2 linked regions of the Rhinolophus ferrumequinum genome follow. The protein of the gene in region 1 interacts with the protein of each later gene in a biochemical or structural test. Links are inferred from orthologs where the notes say so. Each region holds a gene or a part of one and is shown on either strand. Other genes may lie near its edges. The genes, in order: ATF7IP and MBD1.

Region 1 (7,453 bases):
GTATGTCAAAATAACTCCATATACGTTAAAACGTAATTTTTGTTAAGATCATTAAAACATCCAGAAAAAAAATAAAATAGATGAACATTTAATTCATCTCACAACACGTAGTATTTTCTAGGCAGAGAAGTCCTGGAAGAAATCACAAGTGAAAAAAGCAGTGCATTTGCCTACATAAAAATATAACACTTCTGAATATGTAAAACCATGAGCAATTTAAAAATAAACTAAAAAAAATATGAAAAGCCAAAAGCTGATATCCATAAATAGCTGTTACAAATAAACAAGAAAAACATTAACATCCACCATAGAAAAATACACTAAAAATCCTCAAAAATTTCCCCCAAAATGAGAAAACTGCATATATGTATTAAACATAAAAAAGTTCAACTTCACTAGTTAGTATGAAAAAAAGGAAGTTAATGAGATACTATTTTCAACCACCAAACTGATGGAGGTATGGGAAATGTTTTTCAAAAAAGCTAAGTTTTTATCAATTTTGTAAATTACTTTAAAAGCCCTCTGAAATACTAATTTCAAAGAAATATTATGAGATGCAGATCATGCCTCATGTACAAAGATGTTCACTGTAGCATTTATAATAGAAAAATGGGCAACAAACAAAATGGTCAACAAGAAAAGAAAGGTTTAGTAAGTCACAGAACATTCTACATAGAGACATAATGTAGCCATTTAAAAACATATTTGAAGACTATCTGATAATCTGGGATATTGTCACAATATAATGTATCATTAAAAATATTTTAAAAGAATAACAAAATGGCAAAATATCTATAATACAATACTAAAGAGCAGGAATAAGATTATGATCCAAATAAAAAACTGATCAATTGTTACTGATCAATAATCAACCATGGAAAAGTCACATAAATCACCAAAACTTTTAGAGCAATTATTTCTAAATGCTAATTAATTTCAACATGTTTCAAATGTGCTATAATAAGTAAAAAATATTTAAATATATCCATCATGCATTCAAATTACACTTTAAAGGGAAAAAAAGACTATTTTAATGGTTTATGACTTAAACCTTTTTTTCTTTTTCTTTTTTTTAAATTTTTTTGGGGAATATTGGGGAACAGTGTGTTTCTCCAGGGCCCACCAGCTCCAAGTTGTTGTCCTTCACTCTAATTGTGGAGGGCGCAGCTCAGTTCCAAGTCCAGTCGCTGTTTTCAATCTTTAGTTGCAGGGGACGAAGCCCATCCCATGGTGGAAATTGAACCAGCAACCTTGTTGTTGAGAGCTCGCACTCTAACCAACTGAGCCATCCAGCCGCCCCATCAAAACTTTTATTTCTAAACTAAATACTATGAGGCTTTAAACTCATAAAACTAAAAAGATTTTAAATGACCCCAATCACTTTCATTCTTGCGTAGCGTGACCTAGTTTTAATATTTATATATGCTGCATATGTGTCAAAATTTTGTGGCATCACAACTATGAAAGCACAATTTCAAAACATGTTTGTTATTGATAAAGTACAAATAAACAAATAGTGGATATTCAGACAATTCTTCAGTCTTAGTTTTAAGTTTATAGAATTGTATTTGCCTTTTTAACAAACATGACAGCAAAATTGACCTATCAATACATATTTACATTGTACATTATGTTCTTCAGTGTTTTCAAGTACCTCATAATCTTAACATTAATCTACAAGGCAATCATTTGTATATTCAAATAAAAACATCATCTTAAATATATAAACCAGGAGCAGCCAGTTAGCTCAGCTGGTTAGAGCGCGGCGCTGTTAACAATAAGTTTGCCAGTTCGATCCCCACATGGGCCACTATGAGCTGCGCCCCCCACAACTAGATTGAAATAACTACTTAACTTGGAGCTGATGGGTCCTGGAAAAACACACTTAAATTTAAAAAAAGATAGATAGATAGATAGATAGATAGATAGATAGATAGATAGATATACCAAAACATTTCACTTTTCTGGAAGTGCAAAGTCTACCACGCCCTAAGATCAAAGTTCTTTTCTTAACTTAAATATCTATGTGTATACACATACTCACTAATACAGAAAAAACAAATTTTCAACTCTAAAAAACACCAGAAACAATGTCAAAGGAGGTGGGGGAGGGGTGTGTATAAAAGGGAAGATTACACAACTGCCTTCTAAATACTGTTCTGTGTAGAAGACTTCAGAAGTCCAGGAATTATATGAACGACAATTTTTTATTGTCAGAATAGAATAAAGAGGAATTTTTTCCTATCACTCCATTCTATCTCATATTCGTATATAATGTCATTTTTTAAAAAAATCCACCAACCACAAGTATTCCTTTCAATTACATCTTAATACTTAGTAATGGTACTTATTTTAGGCAATAAAAACGTCCCTAAAGCAACCAAGATTAAAAAGCAATAACCACTTCTTCATCTGGCAGGTGACTGAATTAAACTTGAGTTATATAACCAACCAGAAAACCAATTGTTACATATACAAACCACAAATGAAGTTTATGAAAACCATTTACAAGTTTTTAGAACAGTAAGAAATAATTTGCACAATGGTAGAATTATAGTAAATCGTATAAAACTTCTCCCAGGGGTGTTATATAAGATTTACATATAATGACACTACCATTTTAAACTAAAATAATCAGTGACTTACTTATAACTACCTTCTTTAAGAAAGTAAAAACAGGAACACACTTATAACTTTAAACAAGATCAAACACAACAATTTTATCTCATACGTATGTATATGGGGCAGTTTTTTTTTTTAATCAGCTAATTTGTTTTTATTTTTATTGATGGTTCACTTCCTCATCATGGCCTCAGTGTAGGTGGGAGACCTTTGCAGAGTTTTTTATCAGAAAAATGTACCAAGTGTTATATTTTATATATCATAACAAACAAAATGCTAAGAAAATGGCTTAATTTTTAAGGAGTAACAAAAATGATCTAACTGAAGCAGTAATAGACAAGTGACCAGAGACTGAAAAAGTGTAAAACTTAAATGCATGTATAAGAGGAACACAAACTGATTAAAATTGAAACTTCCTTGACTTAGGATCAAACATTTTTAAAAAATAAACACCCAAGGAGATTAAGATTACTTCTTAAACAAGACCTCCTTATATTTCCAAAACTCAAATTGTTTCTCTTTTGTAAACATTCCATAACAGCACTGGTAAAACAGGGTTAAAAATATAATTGCAAATATGCAGTTCAAATAAATGCACTTCCCGTGAGAACACCACTAGGTGCTGATCTTTATCTCCCTAAATATAAACTGGAATCCAGCAACACACTAAAAGTGAAATTATAATCAAGAACCACAAGTGACGATCACTTTTACAGAAAATTAAGTCTCTCAGAGCTTCTCAGAGAATCGGAGAAATATAAGAAAACAGTTTGAGGTCAGTACAGAAGTACAACATAAAAGAAACGTTTTCCCTGAAAAATGTGAGAATTTGAGGGTAACAAAATGTAACCCCTCTAGAAGGAGGTAAATTAAATCTAGAACCCAAATGGCGTCCAGCAAGAACATTAGATCTTGAAAATGAATATTGCGCTTGCGCAGCCACCGCCCCGCCAGCTGCACAACTGCAGCTAGAGCCGGACCCGCAAGATCACGTGCTCCCATGCAGCGCCCGCCCGCAGCTCCGCAACCGCGCAGGCGCAAACACAACTCCCGCAGCCGCCATAATGCGGTCTTGACTCTTCAGAAATACAATAGTAATTTAAGAAAATATGGTTCTAACAGCCCCTAGATTGCACATATACCTTTCGGGTCGCGAGATGAGGACGGGGGAACCAATATCCTTCCCAGAGAGCCGTTTCCCGTAGCCGTCCCCAATGCTGCCTCCTCAGTCTCGCGCACTTCACTCGCCGCGCCGCCGCCGCCGCCGCTGCCGCCGCCGCCGCGCCGCCGTCGCCGCGCTGCCGCAGATTCAAAAACAAACCCGCTTCTCCCTTGCACGCGCGGGGCCGTTATGCAAATTACTGTAGGCGGGGCTCAGTGGTCGTAATGTTGACCACGCCCCCTGTGCTATCAGCCAATAGGCTCACGGACTGGACGTTTCCCATGCAAATCGCCTGGCTTATTTTTTTTTTTATTTGAATGAGGGAAATTGGCCACGCCTCCTGTCGTGGAAAAGAGAAGGAAGTCTGAGGTGGTGGCGCTGTGCCTTTCAGTTGCAGTGTGAGGTGTTTTTCAGTGGAACTTCCTTCGACCAGTGAGTAGCACTTTTTGAGCGCCCTCTATGAGTCTTAGAAGGAAGGAAGGAAACAGGTAGGTGAGAGTTAAAGAGCCGAGGGGAAGATTTTCAAAAATGCTGGAGTATGTTGATTTATATTAAAAACTCACTAAGTATACTAAGTATAAGTAATGAAGGAATGACGAAAACACATCTTTTCTTTCAGTTGTTCTGTGCTAGACCAAGCAGTTCCAATCACATACTTCCACTAGAAGTTGTATTCCTTATATGCAATTTTATATTGGGAGCCAACCCTTAATGAAAGCCACAGGAGGTAGTGGAGAAGGTTCTACTCCTTTGGGAGATCTGGGCCTACACCCAAGTACTTCTGCTTACTTGCCTGTTCCGTGGAATAAGTGTGTTAGTCAGTTTTCTTATCTCTAAAATGGTGATAAAACCTGTAGTTCAAATCGGCTGGGAAGGCAAAAAGATAGGATAAGAGTAAGTGTGTTATGCAAAGCAAGAAAAGCTTGACAAATAGATCGTAAAGTTTGGTTATTGTTTTTAAATGTAATTTCTCCCTTAAATTAATCAATTCATTCAGTATTTAGCAATCACTGGGTTCCAGACCTATATTAGACGCCTGTCCTCAAGAAATCTATACTATAGTGGAGAAGACAGAAAAGTAAACAGGTTTTGTAAATAGTTAAGAAACTAGTGCAGGGTGGTTGACACTGGTTGTTATAATTTGGGCCTTTTAACTTAGTTGATGCTGGGTGGCTTTTAAGAATATCACCTAGGGCCGGCCCGGTGGCTCAGGCTGTTAGAGCTCCATGCTCCTAACTCCGAAGACTGCCTTTTCGATTCCCACATGGGCCAGTGGGCTCTCAACCACAAGGTTGCCAGTTCAACTCCTCGAGTCCCACAAGGGATGGTGGGCTGCGCCCCCTGCAACTAAGATTGAACACGGCACCTTGAGCTGAGCTGCCACTGAGCTCCTGGATGGCTCAGTTGGTTGGAGCGCATTCTCTCAACCACAAGATTGCCTGTTCGACTCCCACAAGGGATGGTGGGCTGCGTCCCCTGCAACTAGCAACAGCAACTGGACCTGGAACTGAGCTGTGCCCTCCACAACTAAGAATGAAAAGACAACAACTTGAAGCTGAAAGGAACCCTCCACAACTAAGATTGAAAGGACAACAACTTGACTTGGAAAAAAGGCCTGGAAGTACACACTGTTCCCCAATAAAGTCCTGTACTCCTTCCCCAATTGAAAAAAAAAAAAGTCTTACAAAAAAAAAAAAAAAATATCATCTAATCCAGATTTGGAGAATCAGTAATGCCTTCCTAAAAGGTAATCTCTAAGATGAGAACTGGTTTAATAGATTTCTTGCCTAAAGCTGGACTTTATTGTGAGAGCAAAGAGGAATCACTTAAAAGGTTTAAGTCAGGAAATAACACTTGCATTGCTTAATTGCTAAGCTTTGTAAAGTCCTTAGCACAGAAAATTGTACATAGGTGTTCAATAAATTTCAAATAGAGGCTCAATTATAACAAATTTATGTTACAATTTAGTTATAGGTGCTCAATTATAAAATAAATGCTCAGTAAATTGTAAATATTGACATTGATATTAAACGTTACATTCTATAGTAAGAGAAATGGGATTGGGATAATAGAATCCATTAGGTTTCTCTTTGTATATCTTCTATAAGCAAGTAAAAAGGAATCATTTTTATAATACTTCACTCTCAACTGTCTAGGCTAATGGCAAAGGGAAAAATAATTCAGCACTAACTCAACAATTGATCTATTTTCTTAGATATGCTGATATTCTAGACTTGTCTCCCTATGTCTTCAACTAGACAATTTTATTGTATTTGACTGTCCCCAGATATTCTCAACCACACATTTATAGTCTCTTCAGCTATTCTACCTGATGGTTGACCTAACCAATTCAATTGTTTCTTCATTCAACAAGTATAGTATTTATTATGTACTCACATACTATTCTAAGCATTGGAGATGCCCACAGGAAATGACACTGCTTCTAAATGGGGAATAAGTCATATATACAGATAAACAATATGAGATCAGTATTGTCATGGAGGTATACACTAAGTATAAAAGAAATGTAAAACAGGAGGACCTAAATCTTCCTCGTAGTATACAGCAAAAGTTCATAGAAAAGGTGATATTTGACCTGACTCATAATGTAGAACTGAAAGTGGTTGTCAGAATAAGTACAAAACAAAGAGAATTCAAGTTAGATAAAACAGAAACTCAAAGACACAGAAGAATGAAAAAAGGTATAGTTTCAACTTCTAGGTAAGATGGTGTTCAAAATAATTATCAATCCCTGTGGCACCAACTGACCAATTAGAATAGAAGCAGGCTTGAACACTCCCTACTTTGTAAGATGTTAATCTTCTAGTTGTAGGATTGTGGAGAGGTTCAGGGGTTCTTTAGTTGGGGACTGAGGTGGACTCAATGGTAGGAGGAATATTCAGGGGTGGGGATATAAGGGATACAATACTTCTAGTGGAAGTATGTGATTGGAACTGCTTGGTCTAGCACAGAACAACTGAAAGATTTCCATATTTTACTCACCATTATGGCCTTATTTATACATACTTTCTGAATATGCTTCTAGAAAAAAATGCCTGAATAAAACAAGATCTCAGAACTTCTGACAGAAAAAAAAAATCCAAAACCCAAAACAACCTAAAATAATAAACATACATAAATGATTTTCAGTTGTAGCAATTGAGCAGAAATTAAACAAGGAAAACAGAACTTTTGAAAAATAGAATACTGGGGCGGTCGTATGGTTCAGTTGGTTAGAGTGCGAGCTCTTAACAACAAGGTTGCCGGTTCAATTCCCACATGGGCCAGTGAACAGCACCCTCCACAACTAGATTGAAAACAATGGCTAGAACTCGGAACTGAGCTGCAGGTGGGCTGCCGGTTTGCTCAGTGGTTGGAGCGCCAGTGCTCATAACACCAAGGTCACCGGTTCGATTCCCACGTGGACCAGTGAGAGTTTGGAGCTGCTTAAGCTTGGAGCTGAGCCACCAGTGGGCGACCAGTTTGTTCCGTGGTTAGAATGCACTGCTCATAACACCAAGGTCGCCGGTTCGAATCCCACATGCGCCAGTGAGCTGCGCCCTGTACAACTAGACTGAAAACGATGCCTTGACATCCCGGGAAAACACACTGTTCCCCAATTAAAAAAAAAATAGAATAAACTGGAAAAAGAAATAGCTGAAAAGGAAA
Region 2 (7,453 bases), on another chromosome or scaffold:
AAGACATACTGTAAGCGGCTCCAAGTGCTGTGCCCTGAGCACTCACGGGACCCCAAAGTAAGGTTTTCCCTCAACTCCCCCCATTCTGACCCTCCTACCTTCCTCACCGCTCCACCTCCTTTCCTTTTCCCACCTGACCACTTCCATAACTCACACTTTCCCTGCCTCATTACCCTTCATTCATCTTCTTTTGTACTCTCTCATCATCTCCTTTTCCTCCCCTTTTCCCTGCCTCTTCATCCTCTGTTCCTCTCCTTTTCCATTCTTCACTCTCCCTTGAACTCTCCATGCCTTCCCTCCTTGACCACTCCTCATTCTTATTTTCCTTCCTGACTTAGCACCTCTCATTCATCCCCACTCCATCTCCCTGCAGGTGCCAGCTGATGAGGTATGCGGATGCCCCCTTGTACGTGACGTCTTTGAGCTCACAGGTGACTTCTGCCGCCTGCCCAAGCGCCAGTGCAACCGTCATTACTGCTGGGAGAAGTTGCGGCGTGCTGAGGTGGACCTGGAGCGTGTGCGCGTGGTAGGTTTTGATGCCGGATGTGGCCAGGGTGAGGTGGGTCTTCCAGAACTCCTTCTCATGGCTCTTCTCCCCTGGCAGTGGTACAAGCTGGATGAGCTGTTTGAGCAGGAGCGCAATGTACGCACAGCCATGACAAACCGGGCAGGATTACTGGCCTTGATGTTGCACCAAACAATCCAGCATGATCCACTCACTACCGACCTGCGCTCCAGTGCCGACCGCTGAGCCTCACTGGCCCAGACGTCCTCACACCCTGCATTCCAGGCGTGGGAGCTTGCTGGAATCCTCTTGCTGTTTGTAATGGTCCCTGAGTTTTTCCTTGTGCCCGCCCACCATTTGACTGCCCATCAGCCCTTACCAGAGGGTCTCAGAATTTCCTCCTGTCCTTGTCTTTCCCATTTTCTCTCCATTTTTTGTTTCTGGGTGGGACTGTGGAGGCTGCTCACTCTTGCTCAGCCTCCCTGGTTTTGTTAATAAAATTTTGTGAAGAACCAAGAAAGAGAACCACTGATGGTCTCCCAACTTTACCCAGTTGCAACTGCATTCCCAAACCCCTGGGGTAGATGGGCCGTGGCACACCTGTACTCATGAGGGACTGCACTGCAGTGCATGTGTAGGCTGAGTATACAACTGGCACCCACTTGGTGCAGGTTCCCTCCTTGAGCTGTGGGCATACGACCTGCTGAGGGAAGAGCCCAATGGCCCACCATTCACAGCCTCATTTTGAGACAGTCCAGTCAGCACTCGTTCAGTGTGTGGCTAATCGATTTACTACTGCTGTGTGAGTGTTAATATTCTCCAGACCAAAGGTGTACCCGATGATCCCAAGGCCCCCTCTTTCCCCACGAACCCCTCTTTGGGGACATGTATGCAGCAGGAGTCCACTGACTTTGTGCCAGAAGCCTCACCCCACTCAATCTGCTTGGCAGGTCCAGTGGGGCTCACAGCTTGGCCTTTCCAGGATGGACCTGCCCTCATCCGTTGCATGGACCTGGCCTTTTGTTTACCTGTAGTGTGGCACTGCCCCCTTCCCCAGTTCTGGGGAAAGAGCTGGGGCCAGCTCAACATAACTTGTCTCTGCTCTCCTGCAGCTGTTCAGTGGGGAGGAGAGAGCGGGATACAAGTCTTGGGGGAGGTGTTCATAGGGACTGGGGCACCTGCGCGACCTAGGCGAGAGGAGGGCTCCAGCACAAGACCAGGCATCGCCGTGCCTCCCTCCTGGTTACTCCTTGTGGAGACCTAGCGTGAGCTTTTCATGACTATCAAAGTATCAGTCTCACACGTCTGTTCCACCTCCTGCCCCCCACTCTGGTTCAAGCCGTTGTTTCTCAAGTCTAGTTGTGTAGGACACAGCTCCCTGGCCCATGCTGGTGTTATGAGCCTTGCGCTCCCCCGGCTGAGGCAGTCGGTCGCGGGTCGGCGGCTCACGGCAGCTCTCATAGGCTGCCGGCCACGCACGCTGGCTGCACCTGGCAGCACACGGTAGCCCACGGCAACACAGCAGCCCAGGATGAGTCGTCGTTCACAATCTTCGGTATAAAGGGCGCAGCTCACTGGTCCATATGGGAATGAACCAGTCACCTAGGCGTTAGGAGCACGGCGATCCAACCACCTGAGCTATGGGGCTGCCATATGTTTGTTTCTACAATGTTAGACTTTATTAGAATTAAAGCCATGGATCTAGTCGTACCGACTGGGTTTACCACAGGCATCAACCAAGGCTCTGGCCAGAGGATAGCCTCCAATGGTCGAGGTAGAGCAGTTTCACACAAGAGGTTTGCAAGCAATAGGGTTAGGCAAGGTGAACAGTCTTAGGAAAGAAGGAGAGAGTCCGCTGTTCACCGAGAGTCGCTGGAGTGCTTGGGTGTCAGGCTGGGCAGGTGAGGCCGTCAGGAGGCAAGACTGCAAGCGCTCGGTCTGAGATGAGTGCAAATGCGGCTGTCAGTTGAGGCCTGAATGATGAGCCCTCAGAGAGCTCTGTTTTCGTTCTCAAGCCTGGGTGCGGTGCACCCATCTGTAGTCAGATAAAGCCTTCCAGATGGTCACTCTCCACCGTGCGCCTGGATAGGGTGTTCTGGTTATCTGGTTTGGGCATTCACTGGGTATGCCTTTCACGTGCTCTGGCATGACTGTCACTTTGTGACTGACATAACTATCAAAGTCATAAGTAACGCTCTATACAAGACCACTTAGGTAAGGAATTCCACGGGCCAACCCCAACCCTCTACGCCCCCTCAGGTTGGGACCAGAGAGCGCAGGCGCAAATAAGGTGGGCGGAGCGGGGAGAACGCGCTGGCGGACAACGCCAGAAGCGCACGCGCTGCGGAGCTCGGATAGGGACACGAGCCGTAGTTGGACTCAGCGCGCAAGCGCAGCTCGTCCTGGCAAAGGGCGCGCGCAGCTGCGGAACCCAGCACGCAGGCGCAGGATCCTCCCTATTAAGGGCAAGCAGAGGCGGTCATTAGCGCGCAGGCGTCTCGCTGGGAGCGGAACCCGATAGGCGGGCCCCGGATTTCCGGTGTCGGGGGCAACGAACGGCCGCGGCGGCGACAGCTACCGTTTCAGAGGAAGCTGCAGCAGAAGAGGAAGAGGAGCAGAGCCAGGCGGGAGGTACAGGCGGGACCCTCGTCATGGGTCCGCGGACCTAGAGCGGCGGAAGCTACCGGCCCGAAGCCGAGCTGGTGAGACAGTCGTGGGGGTGGAAGTAGAGAGCGCTCAGGCGGAGGATGGTGAAGAATTGAGGCTCAGAACCCTGACGGAGCGGGCCCTCGGGCCGATGAGTGGGAGGAATGGCGGCGTCGGAATATTGAAGTGGAGGAATGGGTAGATTTTAGACGGAGGACGGAGAGAAATGGGGCTCAGAACGCTGACAGTGGAAGTGTCGGGATCCTGGACGAGGACGGAGAGGAGTGGGGGAGGATCCGAGCGCTCAGGGGAGACATCGGGGCCTTTCACGTTAAGGAGAGAAATAGGTGTTCAGACCCCTGAGGGGAAGAAATGAGGTGCCCTCAGGCTGATGACGGAGAGAAATAGGGGCACTGGGATGCTGAAAGGGAGGAACGGGTCTGTTATGGAGGACGAGGAGAAACGGGTCTGAACACTGACAGGATGGCATGGTTCTGGGACAAGAACAGAGGAATGGAGGGTGTAGAATGCTGAGGGGAGAAAGCAGGATCTTTTAGGTTCATGAGAGGAATGGAGGATGAGGACGCTGAAGGGAAGGAGAAGAGAACTTCCCGGCTGCAGAAGAGAGGAATAGAGAGGTTCGGGGGCGAGATGGGGAGGAATTGTGGCTCAGAACACTGAGAGGGGACACAAGGGGGGAGGATTTCAAGCTGAGGAACAGAAGGAATGAGGGGCCATTTAGGTCAGGGTTATGGAGGAGTTGGGGACTCGGGCAGAGGACAGAGGAAACCGATGTAGTAACGCAGAGATAGCAGGATAAAAGGACATCACAGGGAAGGAATGGGAGGGTTAAAAGGCCGAAAGAGAGAAATTAGGGACTCCTGGGTCAAGGAAGGTAGTGAATGGGAATGAGAATCCTGACCGAGTGCCGGGCCCTCAGTCTGAGCAGGAGTGGAATGGGAGCCGCTGGGCCTGAGGATGGGAGGGACGAGGCCTCTCAGGCTGAGGATGGGGAGTATGAAGGTCTTGGGGACAAAGGAGAGGAGTAGAGGGCCAATAGGTGACAGAAAATGTCTCGTGGGCCAAGGACAGCGAGAATGAAGGGAAAGAGTGAGAGCCTCCTAGGTTGTCATTGGGCAGAAATGATGGCATCTCAGGCTGAGAATGGGGAGGAACGGGATCAGGACACTGCGAGTGAGGAATGAGGACCCTTGGGTTGAGGACGGGGCTATCAGGTCACAAGGGTGAGGAGTGTCAAGCTCCTGGGCCTGGGACAGGGAAGAGTTGGGTGGGAATGGGGGTTTTCTCTTCTTTATGTTGGCCAATTGCCTGTGGCAGGTCCCAGGTCTTGGGCAAGTATTAATAGATACCAGTGGTTTGTGTGGCTTGGGGCATAACATGTCACCTCCTAGAGCCTCAGTTTCTCCCGTTGCTCCTCCATGTTGCAGGCCGCTGCTCCTTCCCGTGGTCCCCATGGCTGAGGAGTGGCTGGACTGCCCAGCCCTGGGCCCTGGCTGGAAGCGCCGGGAGGTTTTCCGCAAGTCAGGTGCTACCTGTGGACGCTCAGACACCTATTATCAGAGGTACTGGGTGGGTTGTGGACAGTCAGGAAGGGCTGAGCCTGGTTAGGCAAGGTGAAATTGGGTGTGGTTAAATTTATGGGTGGAGCTAAAATTATGCATATATAGTCAATCCTTATTACTTGCAGATTCTGTATTTGTAAATTTGCCTACTCACTAAAATCTGTTTGTATCCCCAAAGTCATTACTCAGCTGTGTTTTCGTAGTCATTCGTGGACATGCACAGAACAGCAAAAAAAATTTAAGTCGCCTGGTGCACGCACTCCCAGCTTAGGTTGAATGAAGCGTTATTTCAGCACTTGTACTGTATCAAGTCCTTTTCATGGTCTACTTAGTACCAAGCTTTTTGAATTTTTGTGATTTTTATTGCTGATTTTGCTGTTTATGATGGTCCTAAAACTTAGTGCTGCAGTGCTATCTAGTGTCCTAAAGTGCAAGACGTCTGATTTGCCATAAGAAGAAAATACATGTTAAATATGCATCAGCTTCATTCAGGTGTGAGTTGTAGTGCTCTTGGCTGTGAGTTCAGTGTTAATGAATCAAAAAATATGGTACATCTAGAAAAGAAAGAGGACGTTTTTCAATTTGTATGTGAGGCTCCTCCAGAAAGTGCTAAAGTAACATCTGTAGTACGTGATGAAGCTAAGGAAAAGGTGGGAAAGTGGCTAAATTCATAGATCCATGAAATGATGAACAAATACAAAGTGTAGTGGACAGCACTGTGAGTCCTGAAAGCCAAGGACATTGATGGTCATTTCTTACCCAGGGTTAAGAAAATGTTAAACCTATTACTGCTAGTGCGGGCTGTCTCACAGGTTTCAAAAGGTGATAACGTTGTTAAAAATGTGAAATTTTCTTGCAAGGCAGGTTCTGCAAATCAAGAGTGCTGAAGATTTTTTAAAAATACCTGCAAAGTGCTACATGGGAAAAGGGTTGGGTAGAAGAGTAGATTTTCAGTGCTGGCTTGTTTTATAAGGACGTTGGCAAAGAAACCTGTATAATGCAGATGGCCTGCAAAGCTTCTGGCTTTAAATCAGTCAAAGCCATGCAGTTCATTATTTGTAAGAAGAAGATATTAAGTAGGGTGTCCTTTAAACAGAAACACACAAAAAACAAGGTTACATAGGATTAGTTTACAAGAATGTTGTGAGTAGAGGCTTGTAGGAACCTAACCTGTAGTTCCACAAGGAACAGTGGTTCTGTATTCACTAATTCAGCGTAGACTTTATAGAACCAGATGACTTTATAGAACATAACTACGATAAATAATGAAATTCAACTATAAATACACAAACTTACGTGTTTATAAACAGTTTACATTTAAGGACTTACGTTACTTTAAGGTGTACTAGTGAGGGAGGGGATGGGGAAGAAGGTGAAGGGATTAGAAAGAGCAAATTAGTAGACACAATATAGTCACGGGGATATGAAATACAGTATGGGGAATATAATCAACAATGTTGTAAGTATTATGTAAGGTGCCAGATTGGCAGTGGACGTATCAAGGGGATCACTTCATACTGTAAATGCACGATCAATGTGATGTACAAGTAAAGCTAAAGTAGGATAAAACTGTATGTCAACTGTGACTGTATGTGTGTGTGTGTATATATGTGTATATATGTGTGTATATATATATATATATGTGTATATATATATATACATATATATATATTTATGTGAGGTGGAGATAGCATAAGGAAGATAGTCAATGGTGTTATAACAGTTATATAAGATGTCAGAGGTTGCTGGTTCGATCCCGCATGGGCCACTGTAAGCTGCGCCCTCAAAAAAAAAAAAAAAAGATGTCAAAGGAGTAGTAGCTTGGGGCGGGGGCTTATCACTTTGAGAGGAGTGTAAATGTCTATTAAGTTGCTTTGTACACCTGAAACTAATAATAATAAAAAGAAGATATACTAGTGATATACTAATTAAATTTTCTACACTCTTCATGAACCTTTTTTGGGTCTAAGTTGCTGTTTTCCTGGAGGAATATAATAACATTACAAATACAGTTACATTTATATTTAGTTGTACATTTATTCACATATTTACAACTTGTATAAACGTTCAACATTGATAAATGTAAGTGCAATTATCAAGAATTGTAGAGGATCTGAGATTTTTACCCTACTTAGGTTAAGATAACAAGTGTCAGTTTAGTGGATGCTGGTAGGAGATAAGAGATTCCTGGATCAGGGATGAAAGAAAATTTATTACTCATAGCAATAACAGTATCCAGAATGTCATAATTTTTGTGTGGGTTCCCAGAATGCCAATTCCGACAGGGTCACATGAAGAGGGCTAACTAGCACACCTGTACCTGTAACTGGGTTGTATTGTGGGAAAGGAACCCTGAGCTTAAGGAATCCAATCTATTATAATGTTAGGACAGTAAGGATGTCTTCCCTTTTCTCTGGAAGGAGACCCTTTCTCTTACCTTCTAGGGTTGTTTGCTGTATAAACATCCTTGCAAAAAATAGTAGCAAAGGACATTCATTGCTTCTCTTGCAAGACATGCAGAAGTACCGTGTTTCCCCGAAAATAAGACCTAGCCATACCATCAGCTCTAGTGCCTCTTTTGGAGCAAAAATTAATATAAGACCTGGTATTATATTGTATTATACCCAGTCTTATATAAGACTGGGTGTTATATTATATTATGTTATATCATGTGATATTATACACCTTGTCTTATGTTAAAATAAGACTGGGTCTTATA

The links.
Region 2: the proteins of ATF7IP (region 1) and MBD1 form a complex in vitro, tested with the Homo sapiens proteins (2 studies listed by BioGRID). The link is inferred for Rhinolophus ferrumequinum from reciprocal best matches to the Homo sapiens genes ATF7IP and MBD1.

Annotation. Positions count from the first base shown.
Region 1 is NC_046293.1:28,750,267-28,757,719, reverse strand, and holds the start of ATF7IP (activating transcription factor 7-interacting protein 1), read right to left. Parts: upstream 3,911-7,453; 5' UTR 3,765-3,910; intron 1-3,764. UniProt on the Homo sapiens protein: Recruiter that couples transcriptional factors to general transcription apparatus and thereby modulates transcription regulation and chromatin formation. Can both act as an activator or a repressor depending on the context.
Region 2 is NC_046302.1:41,088,663-41,096,115, reverse strand, and holds the start of MBD1 (methyl-CpG-binding domain protein 1), read left to right. Parts: upstream 1-3,012; 5' UTR 3,013-3,207; intron 3,208-4,599; 5' UTR 4,600-4,624; coding exon 4,625-4,734; intron 4,735-7,453. Other genes in the region: CXXC1 (CXXC-type zinc finger protein 1), read left to right, coding at 1-57, 374-526, 605-751. UniProt on the Homo sapiens protein: Transcriptional repressor that binds CpG islands in promoters where the DNA is methylated at position 5 of cytosine within CpG dinucleotides. Binding is abolished by the presence of 7-mG that is produced by DNA damage by methylmethanesulfonate (MMS).